Astyanax mexicanus: one gene and its partners. The protein of the gene in region 2 interacts with the protein of the main gene of each other region in a pairwise test. Links are inferred from orthologs where the notes say so. Each region holds a gene or a part of one and is shown on either strand. Other genes may lie near its edges.

Region 1 (7,226 bases), on a different chromosome or scaffold from region 2:
CAGGTAGACTTCCTGGACGAGCTGGAGGAGGAGTTTGGGCTGGGGCTTTCTGGAGGAGAGCTGCCTGTCATCACCATCAGGACCAGAGCAGGACAAAAGTACACCATGCAGGAGGAGTTCACGTATGTATCTTTTAAAAATAACTCTCTGAGTGCAGACAGATAAAAATCTGTCACCAATTAGTAGATGCAGTTGATTTCTGTGCAGCCTTTTAGTAGGACTCTCAGTAGGGAATCTAAAAGAAAGATTTTTTGCTGCTCTTTCAATTATGGATGAGGGAAATAAGACAGAAATGCATTTTTAATAAAATGAAACACCATTTATTTATAAATAAAATCTTGAAATGTTAAAGCGTAGGCACCAAACATATTACCTTAATTTCAAGTGTCAGGTGTTGGAATTAATTTATCTAACGTATCAGTAATGTACTGATAAACCTGAAAAGCTACATTGGTTACATTGGTGGCATTGGCCAATTGGGGTGGTATGAATGTCAGTAACCAAATGTATCTGCTAGAAATAATGTTGCGTGTTGTATCATGCGTGTTGTATCATGATGTTATTTTTTTATACCCAGTATATCTTGTTTGTGTTTGTGTATCACAGGAGAGATGGTAAATCCCTGGAGAAGTTCCTAGAGGATTATTTTGCCAAACGGTTAAAGCCTTACGTCAAATCGGAGGCTGCCCCCGAGTCAAACGGTGGTCCTGTCAAAGTATGTATTAACCTATAGATACTGCAGTACCCTATTAAATGTAGTACAGATTCTATTTTAAATAAGTATTTTTTTTTATTCATCAACAGGTTGTTGTAGCAAACACATTTGAGGAGATTGTAAACAACCCAGAGAAAGATGTGCTGGTGGAGTTTTATGCTCCGTGGTGCGGTCACTGTAAAAATTTAGAGCCTAAATATACTGAGCTTGGAAAGAAGGTAATACATGTTTAAACTTATTTAACTGCTTTGTGGTCAGAGTATAATATTTCTTATTTTGTAATATGATCTGGTATTGTGTCTCAGCTGTCTAGTGATCCCAACATAGTCATTGCTAAGATGGATGCCACAGCCAATGATGTTCCTTTAGACTACGACGTACAAGGGTAAAGCTTTTTAATGTCTTATGCATTCTTGATTACCGTACTGCGTTTTTATTCTAACATATAAAATTAATCCTTAAACTGTTTGTTTGTTTGTTTGTTTGTTTTTTAGCTTTCCAACAATTTACTTTGCACCTGCTGGACAAAAAGACCAACCAAGACGTTATGAGGTATGTTCTTACTATAGCTGTTAACCTGTAAAAAATACACTTAAGAGTCATTTAAGAATAGAATTATCCTTACAGTATTTCAATTAAATTAGCATGTATTTAATTTGTCTAAGCACTATATCTAAATTGTAAAACAAAATTTGTATACATTCAGCTTGATACAGGTCTGCGTGTGAACTTTACATCTAGAAAGAAAGCATATATCTATATGTTCTGAACTAATACAGCTTTATTCCTTTTTCTATTGCATTTCCTCCTTAAGGGTGGGCGTGAGGTTAGTGACTTCATCAGCTTCTTGAAAAAAGAGGCTACACATCCGCTGGTCTTAAGCACTTCAAGAGATGACCTCTGAATTTGACACAACTACAAAAACAAGAAGAGTTCAGGTGCTGGAGATACAATAGTGAATGTGCTGTGCATTGGGCTCTGTGAACTGAGTGCCTGCTCCAAGCGTATTGTGGCCTGAAACAAGCACTGCTTATAGTAGTTTCCAGAGTTGTGAACTCAACTCACGTAACTTCCATCTCAAGTCACAAATTTGATGACTTTTTGATTCGACTCGACAGAATAAAAAATGCAAATAGACTTTAACTTTACCTTCACTGACTTAAACTTGGAATCAGACTGACTGGAAGGCTTTAAGACTTGAAAAGACTTGGAACTGTTGTACTGATGTTGTATTAATGGTGCAGTATCACTGTAAGGGCGTCCTTACAATAGATGTGCCTGAACATTTTAAGCGCTGAAATGAATTCATACTAGATAATTTATTTATATTAAAGCTATTATGGTTAGGCAAGCTTATAGCATTACATGGGGACTATCTTAATAAGCTTAGCCTGTTGATCCATATCTCATCCATCACCCACACAAAAGTTTCTTATAAGAAGACTACTCCAAGTTAAAATATGTTTCATGTCATTTTTGCATTTCACATTATTTTTAAGTCACAGGTCATATATGGTTTGTTTTGATATTATGTTATTGTAATAATATACATCCCTGCATAGGGGCACAAACTAACTGATCAAAACATATATGTTGTTTATTTTTGTTTAAATACATACAAAAAAGACTTTTAAAATATTTATAGATGATAATTTTATAATATAAATCAGCTGTGAATCAGCTATTCATTTTGGAATTGCAGTTGAAATTGAAAACATTGGCTGGGATTGTGAAGCAGCAGAGGTCAAAAGTACTGGTGCCTTTCACTATTTCTTCCAAAGTGAAAAGTATTAAGAGTTTATGCTGCTTTTATAAGAGTTACTGTCACTACTGTCCAGGACAGGCACTAAATGCATCAGGAACTATATGTGTATGTTTTAAGATGACATTTTAGGCATTAAGAACTTTGATAAATCCTCAAGAAATGTTTACAGTGCGTTTCTCAAACCTGATTTTTTAACAGGCCAATTCTGATCACATGTAAGGTCCCTTTGAAAAAAATGTGTGTTTAAGAGGAATGTTATGTTTAAAATTGTGTTTAACAAAAATATTTTAATTCATTGGGTATAAGATTAAAATATAAGATTAAATGGTTGGGTATTATATCACATCATTGTAAATTGTAAACACAATTCAGATTTCTCCACATAAAACACCTTTGTATTTATGTTTTAAGACATTAAACATTGTGCCACTGGCTGTTGTTAACAATTTGTTTTTACTGTATTTTAAAGGCTTTCACACTAGCTACACTAGCACACTGCTGTGCTAGTTTGGAATCTGTAGGCTTGAGAAGACGTGCTCCTTAAACTAATTCTTTAAACACTGTCTTAAATGAACTGGATTCAGATGAGTGGGTTTTAGCTTTGGACAGTTGGTAAAACTGATGGCACTTCTACACTACCTCATTATGCCTGAATACCTTGTTGTACCTAAGTGATTTCTTGTGTCTTCAAAAAAATAATAAACATGACGCTAAATTATGTTGTGTCAAAAATTGTTAAAGAAGCTAGTTTAGAAACTGGTTGTTAAAGGCCTGCTTATACTACTGAGAATCAAATTATTAACAATTAAGACAGATGGACCAAAAAGTATCCTATAAGTAAATTTCGATATAACTTTTTCAGTTTTTATTATTATAAAATAGTTTTACACTATTCTAATATATAAATACATTACATTAAAAAATAGTGTTCTAAAACTTTTAACCGGTAGTGTACATATTGATATTGCAGTAGGCTTGGTCTTATTTGGAATCAGGTCATAATAATACAAAAATACAATGAAACTGTGAATCTTATCATCATGCCTTTATTTTTTGTTTGTTTTGCTATTAAAAATGTAGTGATTATATATTCACAATGACAAAATCAGCAATTAACATAAGGTATTTATTAGGTTTCTTCACACCTGTCTAAAAAAAGAGATTGGGTTTTTTTTTATATACGAACAGCCCATAACAACAGTCTATAATGAAATTAATAATAAAATAGTTTCTAGAATTCAAATGAATATGTGATTAAAAAAATGAAAATACAGATTATATTTATTCATAATTGTATACAATTGTTTGGGCATTATTTGTGTTCTCTATACATAATTTCTTCATGAAGATAATTTCCTTTTTTTTTGTGGAGCCCATATTGGGCCATATGTAACTTATATACTGTTTTTTTATTATTATAATATATTTATTATAAATTTAGTCTATTTTTAACAATCGTATCTTTTTATAATATTAATAAAATATAAAACATACTGTCATATTTAAAAAATCTGTATCATGACTTTATATGTACCGCTAGTCTGTTTCCTGAAGACCTTCAGACGGAAAATTCTGGTAGGTTTCTCTAAGCCCCGCCCCCTGAACGCTCCTTCCCCGCTCTTTATTCACTCCGCCGCCCTAAAACGCTGAAGCTGATGATGTGATTGGTTGTAAGAGGTGCATGTCAGTGCTTCTTTATCGCTGATTGGTTCGGACCATTAGCGAGTCGTTGGCCCCGCCTCTCCCGTTCTCTCTTCTTCATCGTGCGTGCGGATTTGGGTGCCGGCTAACAAAACCACGCTGCAAAGATGATGGGCCGCCCGGTTCTCGTGCTTAGTGAGAATCTTCGTTTTTGTCTGTTAAACGTGTACAGTGATAAATGTAGCGCGAGAGAACCAGCGGGCCGCTGAACTGCGCTGTTTAGTGGATGTTTTACTTTGTAAAAGCCGGCAAGGCTAACAGGCTAACATGGGCATGGCATGGTCACTGGCTAGGCTCGGCTTAGCGTACAGTAGTTAGCTTAGCTTAGCTGAGTTTAGTTTAGTGCATTGTAGCCTGTGTTGTCTGTCTTAGTTGTTTTAGCTACTTAGCTGTTAGCTATCTTAATTTATTTGCCAGGTTTTATAGCTATATTTGAATATGTAATCTATCCTATAAATGTTAGCTAGCTAGGTAACTGGATTAATTCATTGTGGATAATATTGTTGTATGTGTGTGTTAGCTACCGGTGTTTAGCCAAACCTGACATTACTTTGCAAAAAGTAACTGTTTTAAAGGGGAATCTCACCTGGATTTGCCTGATAACTGGATTTGACGTTTGTTTAAGAGTCTAAAACAGATTTTCTATCTTAAAATCTTGTCAGCAAGAAAATTAGAGGACTTAGTCTGGAAATGAGGGATGTCTTGGTTTACTAGGCAACTACAATAATGACTATTAGCATCTGTCAATCAGCTAGCTAACTAGTGTGTCCATTGTGTCCTCCTCTTGCTTTAGGCCAGAATATGAAAAGAGAGTCTGGAAGAAAGGTCCAGACTGGAAATATCAACGCAGCTAAGGTATGTCCTCAACTTCAATCTAGTGTATAGACTCTCTTGTTTCATGTGTCTATGGTTACAGGTAATGTGTTCTCTCTCTTATAACATGTTATTTAATTTCAGACCATAGCAGATGTAATCAGAACATGTCTGGGACCAAGAGCTATGATGAAGGTATGTACCCTGAGGGCTTCAGCATCAGCTCTAAGCCAATCATGTGATGAAATACTGTGGACCACACCCTTCCACTTTTTTTCTGTTGTGTTCATCTTTTACGATAATAGTTTAATTTGTACTTATTTGTGTTGGTCAAGTTGAATAGTATCTTATTTGATTTTATCATGGATGAGTGGAAAACAAAACTGATTGTAGTAGCAACTTGTGCAGCTCTGTTGAATTCCATGACCAAGAGGATTAAGGCAGTGATAGAAAATAACAGTACTTGCACAAAATATCGGCTATGTTAATTATAAGATGTACTCATTTATGTTGTCAGCGGTTTACTGTTATATAAGCTGTCCACCGACAGTTTTAAGTTGTATCCAAGTTTCTGCAATTTCTATAGTATTGTCGCATAAAAAATATATAATTAGTTATTATCAGAAATGTGTGGGGTGAACTTACTTTAGTGAGATTCTGTGTAAGTATAAGATGTTTTTTTTACATAAACATTTGCTCCCTTTTCCTTTTTTAGACCTGAATTATGTGAGATCCATGGTTTTAAATGTTGTGCCTCTTTTATTTGTGCAGATGCTGCTCGACCCCATGGGAGGTATTGTCATGACCAATGATGGCAACGCCATTCTCAGAGAGGTATTTTAGAACTCTGAAAGGATCTTAAGGTTTGTGCAGTTGGTTACATACAGCATAATGCATCATTTGACTCCCATTGTCATTGCCCTCAGATCCAAGTGCAGCACCCGGCAGCCAAGTCCATGATAGAGATCAGCCGCACTCAGGATGAGGAGGTGGGAGACGGTACTACCTCTGTCATTATCCTGGGTAAGTGTTTGCTTGTCATCATCTCTTTGCTGTCATCTCCTTGTATTATGTGTGAATGTGGGATCAGATTTATTTACTGTTAACAGATTTCCAGTGTAAAAGCCCTTAAGGACTGCTTGAAAAAGATCATTATTACAGTACAATAAGATGTGGTGTTTGTGTGTAGCTGGTGAGATGCTGTCGGTGGCAGAGCAGTTCCTGGAGCAGCAGATGCATCCTACAGTGGTGATTAGTGCTTACCGGCAGGCTCTGGACGACATGCTCAGCATGCTCAAAGAGATCAGGTATGGTCCTTTTTAGCAGGTGCTTGGTTTGTAGTTTTCAAAGGTCTCAGGTTGAATGTGTAAAATAATTGTAGATTGTTACTTTATTTATTTGTTTTTAATTATACAATTATTCAGATATACTTTAAGTTGTTTATAAATGGTTAATTTATTTGTTTAGCGTTAAGCTGAAACAGTATTTTTATTTGAAGCATTTCTGTGTGGATGGACATTTTAAAAGTAGTGTGCTCAAATCCTTAAACACATTTCAGCTCCACTAGAAAAAAAAATGCGCAGCTATAGTCACATTGTAATTAAATGCTAGTTAAGCTAGATTTGTTTACATATGTATTCATGAAAGTATGTACGTTAGTTTGCTCAAGTGGCGTGCTCATGCAGACACTGAATATGACATCGCCAGTAACCTCAAAATACTGCTTTCCTGCAGCACTCCAGTTGACCAGAATGACCGTAGCATGATGCTGAAGATCATCAACTCCGCCATCAACACCAAGGCACTGAGCCGCTGGTCAAGCTTGGCTTGTAACATTGCTCTGGACGCAGTGCGTACCGTAGAGCTCGAGGAGAACGGCCGCAAAGAGATCGATATTAAGAAGTATGCCAAGGTGGAAAAGGTAGGACGACAATGTTTTTGGTACATTCACAATCAAATGCTTGGCTTAGCAGACAGAAATCTAAGTATCCTTTGTAATGTGAACATGTGCTCAGTTTTTGAAGATATTTATTTGTGGTATTTTTTGTGGCCTTCTCATGGTTGGTTGTTTTATAAGCAAAAAATATTTTAAAAATTTCCTTCTGTTACTTAGGCTTGTTTTTTGAGAGATCTCCACTAATCTTTGTTCAGAGTTGTTCTTGAAATCCAGAACATTTAAAATATATATATTATTCTGGTATAATTTTCTGTGGAAGGACAACTAAGGTCTGG
Region 2 (7,851 bases):
AAATATTTCCCAGTGCTACATTTCCACAAGGCTATCTAAATTATGATGATGTATGCACTCTTTTTTTTTAAATAAAAAAAAAAATACAGTTGGTCAGTGTTGAAGAAATCCAAAAGAAAATCAACATTAAGTGTATTGTTCACATAATTTATCACAATAAGATAAAATACCTTAGTTTTGCAGACCTTTCTGTTTCGAATACCACCAAACATGTTACAAGTTTGCATTTTCACAGCTTTAGAAGCTTTTGTACCCAAATCTGTGGTCTCCATTGTGCCAAAACCACTGCACAGACCTGTTCCAGTGCCCATGCTCTGACTGAGGCTAGCAGACGTAATGCAAGCTGCAGAAGGATGAAAGCTCTCCAGTGTGGAGGCAGACTACAGCTGGCTTCTACAGTGCTGCAGCTTCAGCCAGAACAGCCTAATCAATGCCTACATTCACTGCCTATGGAGGAACTAATGTGGGGACACTATTAGCTAGATGACAGATTCAATGTTAAACAAACACTGTGATGCCGAATAAAAAATGAAGATTTTTTTATGTATATGCAAAAAAAGATCTATTTTTTATAAAAGAAAAGGTAACCTAATAATTATTTTTTTAAAGCCCATTCAGCATGGACTGCAGGATTATTTTAGATTGCTGGTTTCTTTTATAAAGCTATAATTCTGCTTGAATACAGTCCAGAGGGTAAACCAGGCTGTTGTTGTTGTTGCTGCTGCTGCTGCGGTTTCCAACAAGTAACTTAACGTTAAAGTTATCTAACGTTAGTTAGCCAACCTAGCTAACCTAACTTGAGGTGTCTTTATTTTTTGTTTAAGTTACTTGTTATAAATGTACTTGAATGTATAAATTCAATTTAACAAAAAAAACAAAAACGAACTAATTTGGTAACTAGCTTATCTAAGTTAGTTAACCTAGCTAGCTTAGCTTAGCTTAGCTAACGTTAACTAACTAGTTAAGTTAAGTGGGCTATTCATTAACATTGTTTACACTCTGTTTATCATTATTTATCCACACAATTTTGAACAAACTTACCGTGAACTCCTTCACTATAATGAACGAGGATAAATATTATCCAAAACTTAATTCCCATTTTAGCATCCTCTGAAACGCGACTCGGTCGCTTCACCTCAGCTGAATCAACAAGACCAGCAACTTTAAACAGGCGCGGTTGCTGAATCGCTAATTTACTCGGTATTCGCAGCAGCAAGTGCCGAACAGCGGCAGCAGCAGCTCCACAGTCCCGTCCCCAGAGTCTCCAACGCAGCCAGCAGCAGCAGCAGCAGAACCCCGCTCAGACCTCATCCCCGCCTGAACACTCTCCATACTCCACACACAGCCGAGCAGTATCCAAACATCCCGGCTTCACGGTCTTGGTTCAGTAAAGGAAACTGGACGGAGCTCCTCACACTTCCAAATGTTTCAGCGCTGTGGGGGAATGTGTGAAATCCCACACAATGCCCTCTAGAGACCATCTGCTGAAAAAACACCAAAACTCAGTGGATCCAGCCACCACCTCAAACCCAGCTCTTACAGAGGGCAAACGATATACAGCTCTAAAACAATAAGAGACCACTTAAAATGATTTTCTTTGAATTTACCAAATTAAAAAACCCTGAAATATAATCAAGAGGAAGATGGATGATCACAAGCCATCAAACCAAGCTGTACTGCTTGAATTTTTGCACCAGGAGTGGTATAAAGTTATCCAAAAGCAGTGTGTAAGACTGGTGGAGGAGAACATGCCTAGATGCATGAAAACTGTGATTAAAAACCAGGGTTATTTCACCAAATATTGATTTCTGAACTCTTAATTTGATTAAGAACTTGTTTTCTTTGCATTATTTGAGGTCTAAAAGCTCTGCATCTTTTTTGTTATTTTGCCCGTTTCTCATTTTCTTCAAATAAATGCTCAAAATGACAATATTCTTATTTGGAATTTAGGAGAAATGTGGTCCGTAGTTTATAGAATAAAACAACAATGTTCATTTTAACCAAACATATACCTATAAATCATCAAAATCAGAGAAACTGATTCAGAAACTAAAGTGGTCTCTTATTTTTTTCCAGAGCTTTATAAGTATATAGAAATCACTGCATAAATATGCACAAATAAATAATTTAACTGATTTTCTCTACATGGCAGTTCCTAAAATCTCAACTGAAGAGTAGGGCCTGGTAGTTGCCAAGTGTACCAACAATCCAAGGCCAAATGTTTGCTTAGAACCAGGCCACAAGAGGCTAGCACAAATTGTGTGTCTAGTAACATGTTTGAAAAAAAGTGGTGGAAAAACAGTTAACCCATACGTACCATGTTAAATATATTTATAGCTATTTTCCTAGCTATAGGACCTCTAGGCCATTGACAAACAAATCTGTACATATCAGTTTGCATTTACATTTTTTGTACACTGTACCCTAAAACCCCACACTAAATAACGTTATCATTAAATGTGGTTTCCTTTAAGAGAAAATCCATCACTATCAAATGGCAAAAATAAATAACAGTAATGCTCTCATCAAATGTTTAGAATTTGCAAAGCAGATATTCAGTAAATAAGGCTTGTTCCCATTATTTGATAAGGGAGGAAATAAGTAGGTAGTGATCGTAGACCTAGGGGCTGGAACTTACCATAAAGTACCTTCTAATTTGGAACAGGATCTCCTCTCAGGAAGAGAAGCAGCCACACTAAATAAGTGTACACAACAGAGATAGATAGATAGATAGATAGATAGATAGATAGATAGATAGATAGATAGATAGATAGATAGATAGATAGATAGATAGATAGATAGATAGATAGATAGATAGATAGATAGATAGATAGATAGATAGAAACACATAAAAGTAAGAATATATTTAAACATAAATGTCCTTAGAAACATACTAAATAATTGTCTTACAATATGTTCTCGTTGTCATCTTGACCTTCTTTATTTCTATGATTTGATGAGCAGACAAATAAAGGCATTTTATCATCTCTCAGGCCTCATCTGTTCAGGCCTTGAAGATGTTTTTGCTGGAAGCTGTTTATGATTTTTATAGGACTGAGATGTTCTGCTCTTATCAGTACACTTTTCTTGTGCTGGGCAAAACTAAAAATAACAATAATGTGAGCTTTGACCACAAGAGTATGAGCTACAGGAAAACAAACTAAACTCTCCTCAGAATGGCCTACATGACCGTTTCACATAGCGTAAGGTTGTGTAGAGACATTTTCTAATCACTCATTTCTTTTCAACTTTTTCAGAGACTTTAAAAGGCATGAAGATTATTCAACTGCTAGAGACTGATTGTTCTTAGGACAAGGAGAGGACAAGATTATATGAGATAAAAACTTGTACACTCATCTTTATGCTGTTGGAGCCCAGTAATCTCTCTTTTCAGAGATGAAGAGCATGGTATTAATATGACATTGTTGATGTCATATCGATAGATGGCATTTCATGTTTTTAAGTTTAGTCATTAATATTAGTAAGTAATTAGCAAGATTTTAAATGAGATTAAATGGCACTAAAATATAGTAATAGAATTGTAATAGTAATAGAAATGCACTACAGGTCAGATGTTTTAGAACACCCCCACATATATCTGATCAAATATGAGATGCACAAAAATATAATGGCTGTAACCAAGTCTGTGTTACTTGGGGGAGGGAGGACATCCAACTAGTATTTGATTAATTCCCACTTGTTTCATGATGTGTCAGTGTGTAAGTGCCAGACATTTAAAAACTGTGGTGACAAAAGAGGGGTTAGGTGTAAAAGCTGTGGATGAAAGCTTGTCCTGAATCCACAACATAAACACTGTAGAGTATGTCTATCGGCATAATGTTACGTCCACATCATGTATTGCACTAATGTTAGTTGCTGTAGTTTAGTGCTAAGTTTAGTTGTAATGTTTTTAAATTTCCATCTTAAATAATAAAAATAGAAAAATATGTACTTTGACTTCCAGTCTCGGAGTAAACAACATTTCCTAAGTTTCAGACACAGTTATTATTTATTTTACAAATACATACATAAATTCATAATGGCTGTTTACAGCATATAGAGGGTAATTATTAATTACTAAAATTGCAGACTAATTAAACTCAATAAAACTTTATGTTAGAGTACAAATCTCATCCCTTATCAATTGGGGATGAGCCCTGCATTGTGTAAATTAGTTAATGAAGTTAGCTAAATCTTGGAAAGCTATTAAAATTGCTTAAGTCACATTTTATTTAGACCTAGTTTTAATAAATTAGCCACACTTGTGACATTATCCTAAAGGTGTAGAATCAAATGATCTGTTCAGCTGAGGGTGTAGGAAATTTTATGTAGGTGGTTATTTTAGGAAGGTAACAATATGAAAAATATTAGATTTAATTAATATTATTAATTCCTGAGCAGTCAGCATGTGTCTTCAGTTCCTTATAAATAAAACAGTGTGAAGGTTGTAAAGTCACATATCTGTTAAACATGCAGCAGCTACAAATAACAAATACAAATAACTGAAATGTATAAATCATTTAAAAGCATGTTAAAAATAAAAAAGGGTTTGTTGGGTTAGTTAAACACTTTAAAGGATTATTAAAAAGAATCGTTGCCAAAAGCACATGCTTACATAAAAAATATATATATAATGTACACGATCTAGAGTGAAGGTTAACATTCCTCTATGTTTCTAAAATGTGTTTATTCAGAGAAAGTTGTATTGTTACAGATTGGTGTAATCAATTTCAAAAACTATGCTTTAGAGACAAAATGCAGGTTATACTGAAATTTACCCATAGGACCCTTAAACCTTGTGTAGTGCACTAGGTAGCTGGTGATTATATAGGGAGCGATAGGTCGTTTGAGATTCGCCCAGACCTAGTTTGAGATGAGCGTTTTCCAAAACCCATCGTCTGTCCTCCTCTAGTGGACAGATCGCGTATCATCAGGTTTTCTGCTCTGTTCACTTCCCCCACTGCTCTCCTCTGGGCTGTGATCCGGAGCCTGTCCCGGGCTGTACTGTAGGAAGTCTCTCCGTGACTTTTACACAGTAGTGTAGGTAACGTACACAGAAAGTCAGCCATGCTCGCCGTGGTTTCCATGGTAAGTTACAAAGCCATGTTGATTGCGAGTCACTGAATGCTAACTTTCACTTTGATATTCAGCTCATAAACGGAATAATAACTTGCTCACAAATAAGTTTTGACAGTGAACGTAGTTAACTAGGTAAACTAGTGAACGAAATCACAGGTTATGTGTGGTATTGTTGTAACGTTAGTTAGCTAACTAGCTAGCCAACTGAGCTAGCAGTGAAGCTAAGTTAGTAAGCTAGGTGAGCTAACTTAGCTAACTTAGTAAAACTGGTTGCTAAAACTTTATACGTGTTTTATTTTGTGCTCTGCTTGTGTGTCACCGGCTCCCCGTCCAAAGGGGGTTTGTTGTTTCTCTCCTGTGTATCAAGTTGCCTGTAGGTTAAGTGTAAACGGAGACGCTGCGTGTAAAGTCCTGCTGTCAGATAGAGTTATCTTTCAGTTCTGACTCATGAATTTAAGGAGCATGGCACACGACGTTAAAAGCGCTGTCCAAAGGGCGAAACATAAAATATCAAGTCTGGAGAATGAGCTGTATTGTGCGAGGTGAGTGCTGGAGTGTTTAACAACTTTCTGAAGCTCGGTGTGAAACAAGAAAAAAGAAAGACTGAGTAAAACACACAGACACACACACAGCAGACGTTTGGTCTAGTGGAGCTATGGTTATAAATTTATTGGTTGTTCCTTTTTTTGCACTAACTGAGTCTCAAACTGAACTTAAGGGATCTTATTTGTTTTCTTGGCTTCTTTTGTGGGATATTGTAATAATTAAGAGTATTTAACACATTTGACCAACACTGCAAGCCAGCTAGTAATACCAACAGTGTTGATTGTTAGTGTGTAGTGTCTTTATAATATTTAACTTATATATAAATCACTTGAGACAAATATATTTACATTACATTGTCTAAACAAAGACTTTTAGGGTTTTGATGTGAAATTGTTCATTGTGTAATAGAATTACTAGGGTCTGCTTCCAAAATGTATGTATGTATGTAAGTAGTGGTATCTGACAACAAAAAGTATGAACTATTTTCATTTTGATGAATGCCCCCACATGCACCTCCACTATGGCTGTATGCTTTTTTTGTGAAAGAATTCAATGTAAAAGTAAAGCACCATTATTTTATATTTCACAGAGGTGTATATTAAAGAAGTATAATTGCTGCACTAAAATGTGTACCTGCACTCTACTGGGTAATTATTCTTTTTTACAAAAGATGTTGAGTACTTAAATACTTCCGCAAGTGTGATGCTTAAAGAACACTTCATCTACTACTTAAGTCCATTTTTGATAAAGCACTTGAGCTTTTACTCAAATCTCATTTCATGAACTGAAAAAGTATAGAAAAATAGTAATAGCAAATTATTTTCACAGATGTCTCACCTTGCAGAAATTTAATTGTTGTGAGGAGTTTGCTTGTAAGATGTCCTTCTCTTCACTGTTCTATTAAAGAACACTGCACAGTAGAATAGTGCATCTCCACTCCTGCGTCGCTTTAACCTTCGTGAAGGGCGTTGCTATCACATGCGGATTTGTTTCACCTTTCTTGCTAACATTGACTTCCACAGTTTCCTTAACTGCTATTGAATTAATTTATCAGCTGAGAGCACTTTAATTCTTTTTTATGCGCTTGCCCTGCTTTGTGGACATCAGTTAGCTGCTAAGAGAAGTCCAAAGTTATTGAGAACTCAAGGTTTGCCATTTAAGAAACGTATCATGCCCCAGAATTATAATATGCAGCTTCCTTATGATGAGCATTACCTGCCAAACCTGTACTAATTAATTGCTAGTTTAAAAGTACAGATCCTGAATACTTGAAATGTTTTTCAACCTCTCTTTGTCCCTCAGAACAGGTGTTTTTTGTTACTTTGTGTTTGATAGCTTTGTAAATGTGCTCTAATGTTTTGCTTGCATTTAATTAATTTTCTGGAGCTCCAGTTTTAACAGTTGTGGGTCTGTGAACCCCAAATTCTTTGTTCGGATTTGTATTCATTTTGCCACTTTTTTACTACTGCAAAGTTCTGCTGCTGCTGCCACTTAAAATACCTGTTCATCTGTTAAAGAAAACACTGAACAATGACTTTAAATAAACGCCTCCTTGTTCAATATAAACTATTCAGTCTTTTAATTTATTAACGTTTTTTCTGGGGAACATGTTCGGTTGCCAAACAGTTCTCTAACCCTTTTTATGCCTTGGAATAAACCAATAGTTTATGGTAACTTCGTTATGGTTGTACAGTAAAAGTTGTTCCATTTTTCAGGCAGCTGTGATTTTGTTGCTATAATAATCCAATAAATGCTGTGTATGGTAAGTGGTTGCTATGGTATTCCAGATACTTCCTATTGTGTTGCCATGATATTGGTAGATGGTAGTTTCTAAGGTTTTGCCAAGTGTTGCTACATGCTGTATTGTATTGTGTTGCTATGTAACTGTTATGGCATTGCTGTGTGGTTGCTATGTGCTTGCTGTGGTATTCCAGGTAGTTGATAGGTTGTTGCTGGCTTTGCTCTATTTTCTGGCTCAAACATACATAGTCCAAGCAGAGTAAAGACTTTTGGCACCACTAACCAGATACCCCTCGAGAGAGTACATACAGTGATAATGGAGCAAATGGAGCAGACTGGATTTAACCATGACCTAAAGTACAGTATTAGCATTTGTTGTTGCTAAAGGAACTATGTGGTGGAATGACTTGGTGATGGAGAGTTTAGCGATAGATCTGCAGCCGTTTTTGACCAAAGTTTTTGTATCATAGCTAGAGTAGCAAACGT
Region 3 (7,425 bases), on a different chromosome or scaffold from region 2:
GCCCTACACTCAACTACGGGGGTTCCATATCATATCATACACAATAATATCACCAACAGTTTTTAATATGGTGAACGATATATGGAGATATTTGGAGTGCATTATTATTATTATTATTATTATTATCATGATATTCTGGATCATCGACTTCTGTTACAAATCTGAAAAAAAATTCTTGTATTTTTTAATATCTCAGTTAAGGGTGTGCCATATCATATCATATAATATCATATGTAATAATAAAATTAAATTTTCATTCTGTTGCAGTAGTGTATTGTTAAAATATTTTTTTCAGTGTTTTGTCATAGAGTCGCCAGGAGTATCGTTATCGCTAAAAATACCAATACTGTGATATTATTTTAGGACCATATCGCCCACCTCTACACTCAACACACTGATCAAACAGTGATTCCTTTACCTGACCTGCTCCCACTCACCTGTAGGATGATATGGCCAACATTTATATAAATTGTACACACCTTAATTTCAGTCGAGATTACATACTATACGAATACTAATACTGATATTAGTATGAATAATATAACATCCACCACCTGGAGGACAGAATCACACACTAATACTCTAGTGATGAGATCATCTCAGCACAAGACTGATAAAGAGCCGTCACAGCCCCAGTCTCAATCAGCCTGATCTCTATATCCTATATCAGATCAGTATCAGATATCTACCAATGAACAGATATTATATTATATTAATAGATATAAAAGGAGAGTAAAGCTCCAGTCTGAGTCTGAGACAGAAGAAGAAGGTGTTATGGGTAAAGGAGGAGGAGTGTGAGCTGCTGACACATCAGTATCTGTATCTGCTGAACTCTGAGTTTAACTGAAGCAGGTTTTAGTGTTGAGTAATAATTCAGTATCAGAGCTGCTGACAGGCTGAAACTGAGGGGTGATGATTCTCCTGCTTCAGGTACAGCAGAGCTTTATATACGCTGGTCTAACAATGACCTGTGAGGGCTGGTGTGTGAGGGGCAGTGTGTGAGGGGTAGTGTGTGGTGTGTGTGAGGGGTAGTGTGTGAGGGGTAGTGTGTGGTGTGTGTGAGGGAGGGGATAAGGTCAGAGCGTTACAGAATTAGAAAGATATTAAGCAATCACATTTACTATAACACACCCACTGCTACCGTACTACTGAAACCTGATCAAACACACAAACACACACAAACACCACTGAGCCTGAATTAGGGCCATATAACTGACTCCTAGTCATAATATGTTTCTATAGTTTTATTAGGAAACAATAAAAATGCTGCATTTAACTACAGCGCATCAGTCCAATTCCTCTGAACTAGGAATTGTGGACTAATAATAATAAAAAAATATTTAGTATAATGATGTATATACAGTACCTGCTTAATATGTTTTATGACAGCAATGTCTAAACGTGCCGCTACTTTTTCCAACATATATTTGTAAAATATTTTACTTCTGATAAAACTCAGATTATATCATACATAAATCCCTAATATAACTGTACTTCTCATCACCCACATTTCTATTAAATTCACATGTTCAGTTCTACACCACTCATCTCTAACCACAATACGAAACTACAACAAACTCCTGTAATATTTACCTCTTCTGTGGAAAAGCCATGCCTTCAGAGTGACAGAAAAAAATCCAACAAATACAAAGTTGATTCTGATCATACATCTGAAGCCATCACATAAATTACTTATATTATTATATTATAAGCATGCAATAGTCACATGCAGGGCATGCAATGGCGTGTAAGGAAAATGAAACTTGATTGATATAAAATAAATATTTGTACTGCTTTTAGGTCTGTCACAATAAATGTATCTCTTCAATATTTTTGATAAGACAATTTAATGCCAATTGCACAATAATATAAAATAGCATAATAATGGTAATATACCCTTATATTAAGATTAAGAATATTTTTAAATCATTTATTGTGCCCAACTTGTCAATAAAAAGGAAATCATTAATGTCAGGGTACAAATTGTAAAAAACGGATATTAAACGTATATTTCTTCGGATGCCAATAAACATATATATTTACAGAGAGATGTTGTAGCTGTAACAGGCCAGTGTTTCTTGGTCTTTTTTGGCACATAATAAATACATTAGTATTGGTTTAATATTCAGTATTGGTTCATTGTGCATTCCTAATTTTTAATATTGCCATTTATACAGGAGATTAACAATATACTGCAGTTGCCTTTTTCCAATATTTTGCAGCCCTAATCTATATTGCATATCTGTATCTAACGTAATCAATACTGATCAATACAAAAAAAGCTAATGCTAATGTATTGGAAACAGTGAAATTAAGGTTTCTGCTGTTGATATACAGTAATTGCATCTGAACCCACATATTCACATTCACATTACACACTAACACACTTGTACACACACACAGCAGCTCTGCTGTCCTTCTTTTACAGCCCACTGTAATGCGCATGCTCACAAGAAACATGTACCGTAGCTATAGAGAATAAAAAGACCCAAATAATGTACATATAGTTTATATGTAAAATATATTCTAACGTTCAGATAATACGTTATTTTGCAGTTTACTGTGAGTAAAGTATCAGAGGCAGCTCTGGGCTGTTTCATAGAGGGCCGGTGTTCTGTCGATTTATGCTACCCGTCGATACGTGCTTCCTAAAGGCACTGCGCATGCGCTAACCAGCGCGTTTTAATTATTTCTCGTGCTTTTGTTTTTTTACAATTAATCTGTTACAATCTGAACTCACTGTTATTGCACAAAGGTGTAAAAGGAAGTTAATAATTATAAAAAAATATATATATATAAAAAATACATAAGCAGTTTTGTAAATTACCTCTCATTGCCTTTAAATTAACTTTACCATGATACAGTGATTAATGCTATACAAATATACTAACCTACATCTACTGGGACTTTCACTGCGAACATGCTCTAATATAAAGCTTATTTTGTATTTGTACAGTTAAATATACACTAGGGTAGCACGGTTTGACAAGGTAGCAAAAATCGACACAACACCGGTCCTGCATGCACACAATAGGCTAATAGGCGAGAGGAGGAGGGGGGGATTATTTAATTGCTCTCCGTTACATCAGAGAATAAACAGGAGCAGAGAAAGATAAATATCACTGCGTGTTTTTGTGGAGTTGAGCTTTTATATACGAATAAATTAATAAATTACCTCAGCTGTCAAATATAAAACAGGAGACTGCAGATAGGCAGGCCCTGAATAAACCTCTTATCTCACACTATAGCAGCGATATCGTGTACTATACTACACAAATAATCTCTATAAATAAAATAAATAAGATAATTAAGCTTAATAAGCAGTGTGAGCATTCACACGCACACCCAGCACGCGCACAGAGAACCAGAGAACCGGAGAACCTGCAGGCGCTGCAGGGCTGAGCTCGGTTAGTGCACGGGGCAGGAGTACGGGAGCTGTAACGGTGGCGCGGCCTCGGTAAGAGCCCTGCTGTCTCCCTGTCCTCCTGTCCCTGTCTTTCTCTCTGACTGTCTCTCTATATCTCTCTGTCTGTCTGTTTGCAGGCCTGCACAGTAAACCCTCTGCAGACGCAGGGCGGGTGTTGCTCGGGCTCTTACCGTGCTCTGGTCTCCGGTCTCCGGGCTGCGGGACTCCGGTTCTGAGAGAGGAGGACACACTGAAGGAGAAACAGGCGGAGAGGGCAGGACGCGCCGCGCATGCGCACTCCTCTCACTCTCCCGCCTATCCGATCCCGAGTAGATATTAGGAATAAACGATGTTCTGTCGAGTTATGCTACCTATCAATATGTGCTTCTTTACCGCAACATTTTTATATGGTAATGTTTATAATGTTTTATGTTTATGTCACGATAATTCCTAGAATTCCTAAAGAAAAAAGAAACAAATAAACAGTAAAACAATAAAAATATATAGTTTCTAATCACGTATATGACATTCACTTTTGGACTTTACTTTATACAGTGATTTAGCCTATCCACATATCCTACCTACGCTTTTGCTGAGAGTATTTTCTAATATGGTGCTTTTTTTGTAACGTTACTTTTATCTTAAAAAAATTGTCCTAGTTCCTAGATGATAGTTTTCTACAATGATCTACAATTTAATAAAATTATAATATTAAAATAAAGAAAATGTATGGAGCCCACAATGTGACATCATGTTACATCATTTTTAAAAATAAATTGATTATTATTTTTAACATGATGTCTCCTTAGGGGCTCCGTATTAAAGTATTTCTTTATTATTATTTTGTTGTGTTTTTAATCTTTGTTAATGTTACCGCTTTTAACATTAAGCAACATTTATTAATCGCAATTAATGCAAATAAAACTGTTACAATGTTTTAAAAATGTAATAATTATTAAAGAGGGGGAAAAGCGGCGCTGTGTCTTTAAGCCGTTGCCATGGAGATAGACTCGGCTTGCTGCGTCATCAGGCGGTGTGTTTACGGGGCTGAAAACGGACTGAACCGAAAACGCGTTTAAATTACAGGTAACTTTATTAATCAGCCTGTTATTAATCAGCCTGTTATTAATCAGCCTGTTATTAATCAGCCCTACTGTTATCCGGGTTCAGGGTTAATTTATACACCGCTGAGTAATTCTGATCCGGACCCGCGGTTTAGCACAGCGCTCACACAGCTAGCTTTTATCTGTTATATATACATTATATCTATTCTATATACATTTAACACCGTATTAACCCCGAGAATATAAGTATAGTGCATTGTTATATGTTATAATAAATATATTAGATAAATATTATAAACAGTACTATTCAATGTCTTTCTTTATTTATTAAATGTATTTATTCAATAATTTGAATGTATGTTGGAGATTAATATATATAACTCTGTAGTAAAGAGTAAAAAAGTGTTATTCCTCCACATTAATCTCCTGATCTAAAGCTGATGATCTGAGATGGTGATTTGAGGTGATTTAATTGGGATGAGCTGGAGCTTCACAGCGTGAAGGAAAAGCAGCAGCTATTGTTCAGCACCTCCAGGAACTCCTTCCTTCAAGATGCTGAGAAAACTATTCCAGGTGACTCTAAATCATGAAGATACTGAGATTAAAAAAAACAAGAGTCTGCAGATCTGAACTCAAAGAGAAAGCCTGTGTCCAGACTGGTACTGAACACAAGATGAAATTTAGAAGAAAAATACCCTCATACTAAACAGATTTTAGTTTTTGAAGTGTGTGTGTATTCACTTTGTACAGTGGTATCTTAGTTTTATTCTACTTGTAAACATATTTGTGTTGTAACTCCTATAGTCTGGTGTTGATCAGACGCTGCTCTCTAGGTACCGTCCTCATCATGTTCTTCTACCATTGTAACTCTTGGTTTAGGAATTAAGGGACTGGAGAAATCATGTGTGAAGGACCTTCGATGATCTCTGGGCCCATTCCACCAGACCCCTCCCTCTTCCCCGAATACTACAGACGACCTACTTCTGGTAGGGATTTGGAAGTTATTTCACCAAACAACACCATAATAAAACATCTCTAAAACTGTATTTGTGTTCATACTGATGTCAGATGGTGACTGTGATCAGTTTTTTCATCAATCATTTATTTCCTTTGTGTCTTATCTTAATGTAATGTTATGTACTGTAATGTTTCCTGTCTATGAAGCTCGGGGTCGTCTGGAGGGGAATTCTAAAAGTGGATCTTTAACTCTAAATGGACCCTTAGCCCCAGACCCTGCTCTGCATCCAGGCTGTTACAGCGCCCGCCCCGCTCATCCTCCTCCTCGCATCGGCCCAAACGCCAAACACATTCTAGAAAGAAGCCAGAAAGGAGAGGTGGGGGCTCTCCTTAAACTGGAGGGAGTCTGCCTGAAGCCCCCCCCTGTTAAACACAGTAAGATTTAAAGCTGGGGATCACCACTGATTTACTAAATCCACTGTAAATCATCAATTCTGATTTAAAATATCCCTATTTGATTCAATATCAATTCATTAAGGTACATTTCAGTTACAATTTCAGGTTTAGCTCAGTCCATAACACAAAAAACAGTGTACATGTAATAAAACATACACATCGGCTGTGCTTCTCACACTTTTACACAACTTCAGTATCAGAAATCACTTTAAAAAGGATTTTTTATTCTAAAAATTAAATGGATTGATTTTCCTTTACTCTGAATATTAATATAACTGTGTCTGCATTTAAGGTGCAACAAAAACTCAAAAAAAGGAAAAAAATGCTTCACAAAAGAAGTTACATGTTAAGTTTTCTCTCTTATTTTTCTCCTCAGAACCTGCAGCTCAGGATTATGGGAAAGAGAACGTGCGACGGCTGCGTGAGATCCAGAGACGATTCCGTGAGCAGGAGGCGCAGAAAGAGCGAGCAAAGCCGGTTCCTGTCAAAGCCCTGTGGAGCTCTCCCAAATACCAGGACATCCCCTCCAGGGTCATGGCCCAGTTACAAGTAAGTATTTCATTTTTTTGGATGGAATTGAATGGAATTGTTGTTCAGCATTAATGTATAGTAATAGAGTAATGTATATTGTATAGTTTATAAACTTTGTGTGCTTGTGTTATCTCTTTCTGTACTTCTGTCTGAAGGAAAAAAGCCACCCCAAAAAGGCAGAATGCCAGAACTTCCTAAGAGCTCACTCTGTGTGTGGGGCGGGGGGTCGGCCTCAACCTAGTCGGCCTCAGTCTGTGTCGGCATCACCCTCTGAAAACGGGCAAAAACCTCAAACAGCAGATCCAGAGGTAAACTCACACATTCCTATAAACATACACACTTACACTGTTTATAGAAAACTGCTTATAACTGAAGCGAATGCAGTTAATTTCGTATACAACTGTGTTTTCATGTTATTAAAAATGAATATCTGATATCTCCTGGTGTAGATGGAGGTGAGAGGACACTTTGTTGACTTTGTGAGTCATAATGCACGCGCTGCGAGAAAGACCGCACTGAAACGCTCTCAGTCTCTACAGGACCTGAACAACAAGCAGCCGCCGAGCGCAGTGAAGGGCCGAGTCCCCCAGTAGTGAGTGATCATATCAAATATATTTAACACAGATCATAGAACATACATATTGACTGAGAGTTAAAACAAACCCAGAAGCATGATTGGAGCATTGTCTCTTTATTACAGTATTTACAGTATCTGCCCATATCAGTGTGTGTGATTGGTCATTGGTATGTTTTTTAATTTTTGCTTCTCTCTTCCTCTCTCTCTCCTTTGTTTTAGTCTGGAAGAAAGAAAGGAGCAGTGGAGGAGAGAGGCAGAAGAGAGACGGAGGAACGCTCCTGACCCGTCTGCACCTGCTGGACACACTCAGATGTCCGACAGAGAGAGGAGAGAAACTCTAAATTCACTCAGAGAAAGTATGTTTTCGCCAAAGCTCTAGTTACAGCTAGACCTGTAGACAACTACCGTGTAGAGATTAAGCTAGCTAACAGATT

The links. The genes of interacting proteins can lie anywhere in the genome.
Region 1: the proteins of mipol1 (region 2) and cct3 interact in binary tests that used the Homo sapiens proteins (3 or more experiments, as listed by UniProt). The two-hybrid records come from large-scale screens. The link is inferred for Astyanax mexicanus from reciprocal best matches to the Homo sapiens genes MIPOL1 and CCT3.
Region 3: the proteins of mipol1 (region 2) and enkd1 interact in binary tests that used the Homo sapiens proteins (3 or more experiments, as listed by UniProt). The two-hybrid records come from large-scale screens. The link is inferred for Astyanax mexicanus from reciprocal best matches to the Homo sapiens genes MIPOL1 and ENKD1.

Annotation. Positions count from the first base shown.
Region 1 is NC_064413.1:41,352,308-41,359,533, reverse strand, and holds the start of cct3 (T-complex protein 1 subunit gamma), read left to right. Parts: upstream 1-4,208; 5' UTR 4,209-4,288; coding exon 4,289-4,316; intron 4,317-4,974; coding exon 4,975-5,036; intron 5,037-5,138; coding exon 5,139-5,189; intron 5,190-5,765; coding exon 5,766-5,828; intron 5,829-5,920; coding exon 5,921-6,017; intron 6,018-6,183; coding exon 6,184-6,301; intron 6,302-6,728; coding exon 6,729-6,915; intron 6,916-7,226. Other genes in the region: pdia7 (protein disulfide isomerase family A, member 7), read left to right, coding at 1-122, 607-715, 805-933, 1,021-1,100, 1,210-1,267, 1,530-1,619. UniProt on the Homo sapiens protein: Component of the chaperonin-containing T-complex (TRiC), a molecular chaperone complex that assists the folding of actin, tubulin and other proteins upon ATP hydrolysis.
Region 2 is NC_064421.1:18,849,485-18,857,335, forward strand, and holds the start of mipol1 (mirror-image polydactyly gene 1 protein), read left to right. Parts: upstream 1-4,850; 5' UTR 4,851-5,088; intron 5,089-5,446; 5' UTR 5,447-5,526; coding exon 5,527-5,621; intron 5,622-7,851. Other genes in the region: tyrosine-protein kinase receptor TYRO3, read right to left, coding at 1,042-1,099.
Region 3 is NC_064419.1:253,109-260,533, forward strand, and holds the start of enkd1 (enkurin domain-containing protein 1), read left to right. Parts: upstream 1-4,407; 5' UTR 4,408-4,492; intron 4,493-4,907; exon of another isoform or gene 4,908-5,043; intron 5,044-5,349; 5' UTR 5,350-5,371; coding exon 5,372-5,456; intron 5,457-5,634; coding exon 5,635-5,862; intron 5,863-6,259; coding exon 6,260-6,432; intron 6,433-6,569; coding exon 6,570-6,722; intron 6,723-6,863; coding exon 6,864-7,006; intron 7,007-7,210; coding exon 7,211-7,347; intron 7,348-7,425. Other genes in the region: vdac3 (voltage-dependent anion-selective channel protein 3), read right to left, coding at 3,598-3,698. UniProt on the Homo sapiens protein: Microtubule-binding protein which regulates microtubule organization and stability. Promotes the stability of astral microtubules and facilitates the proper orientation of the mitotic spindle.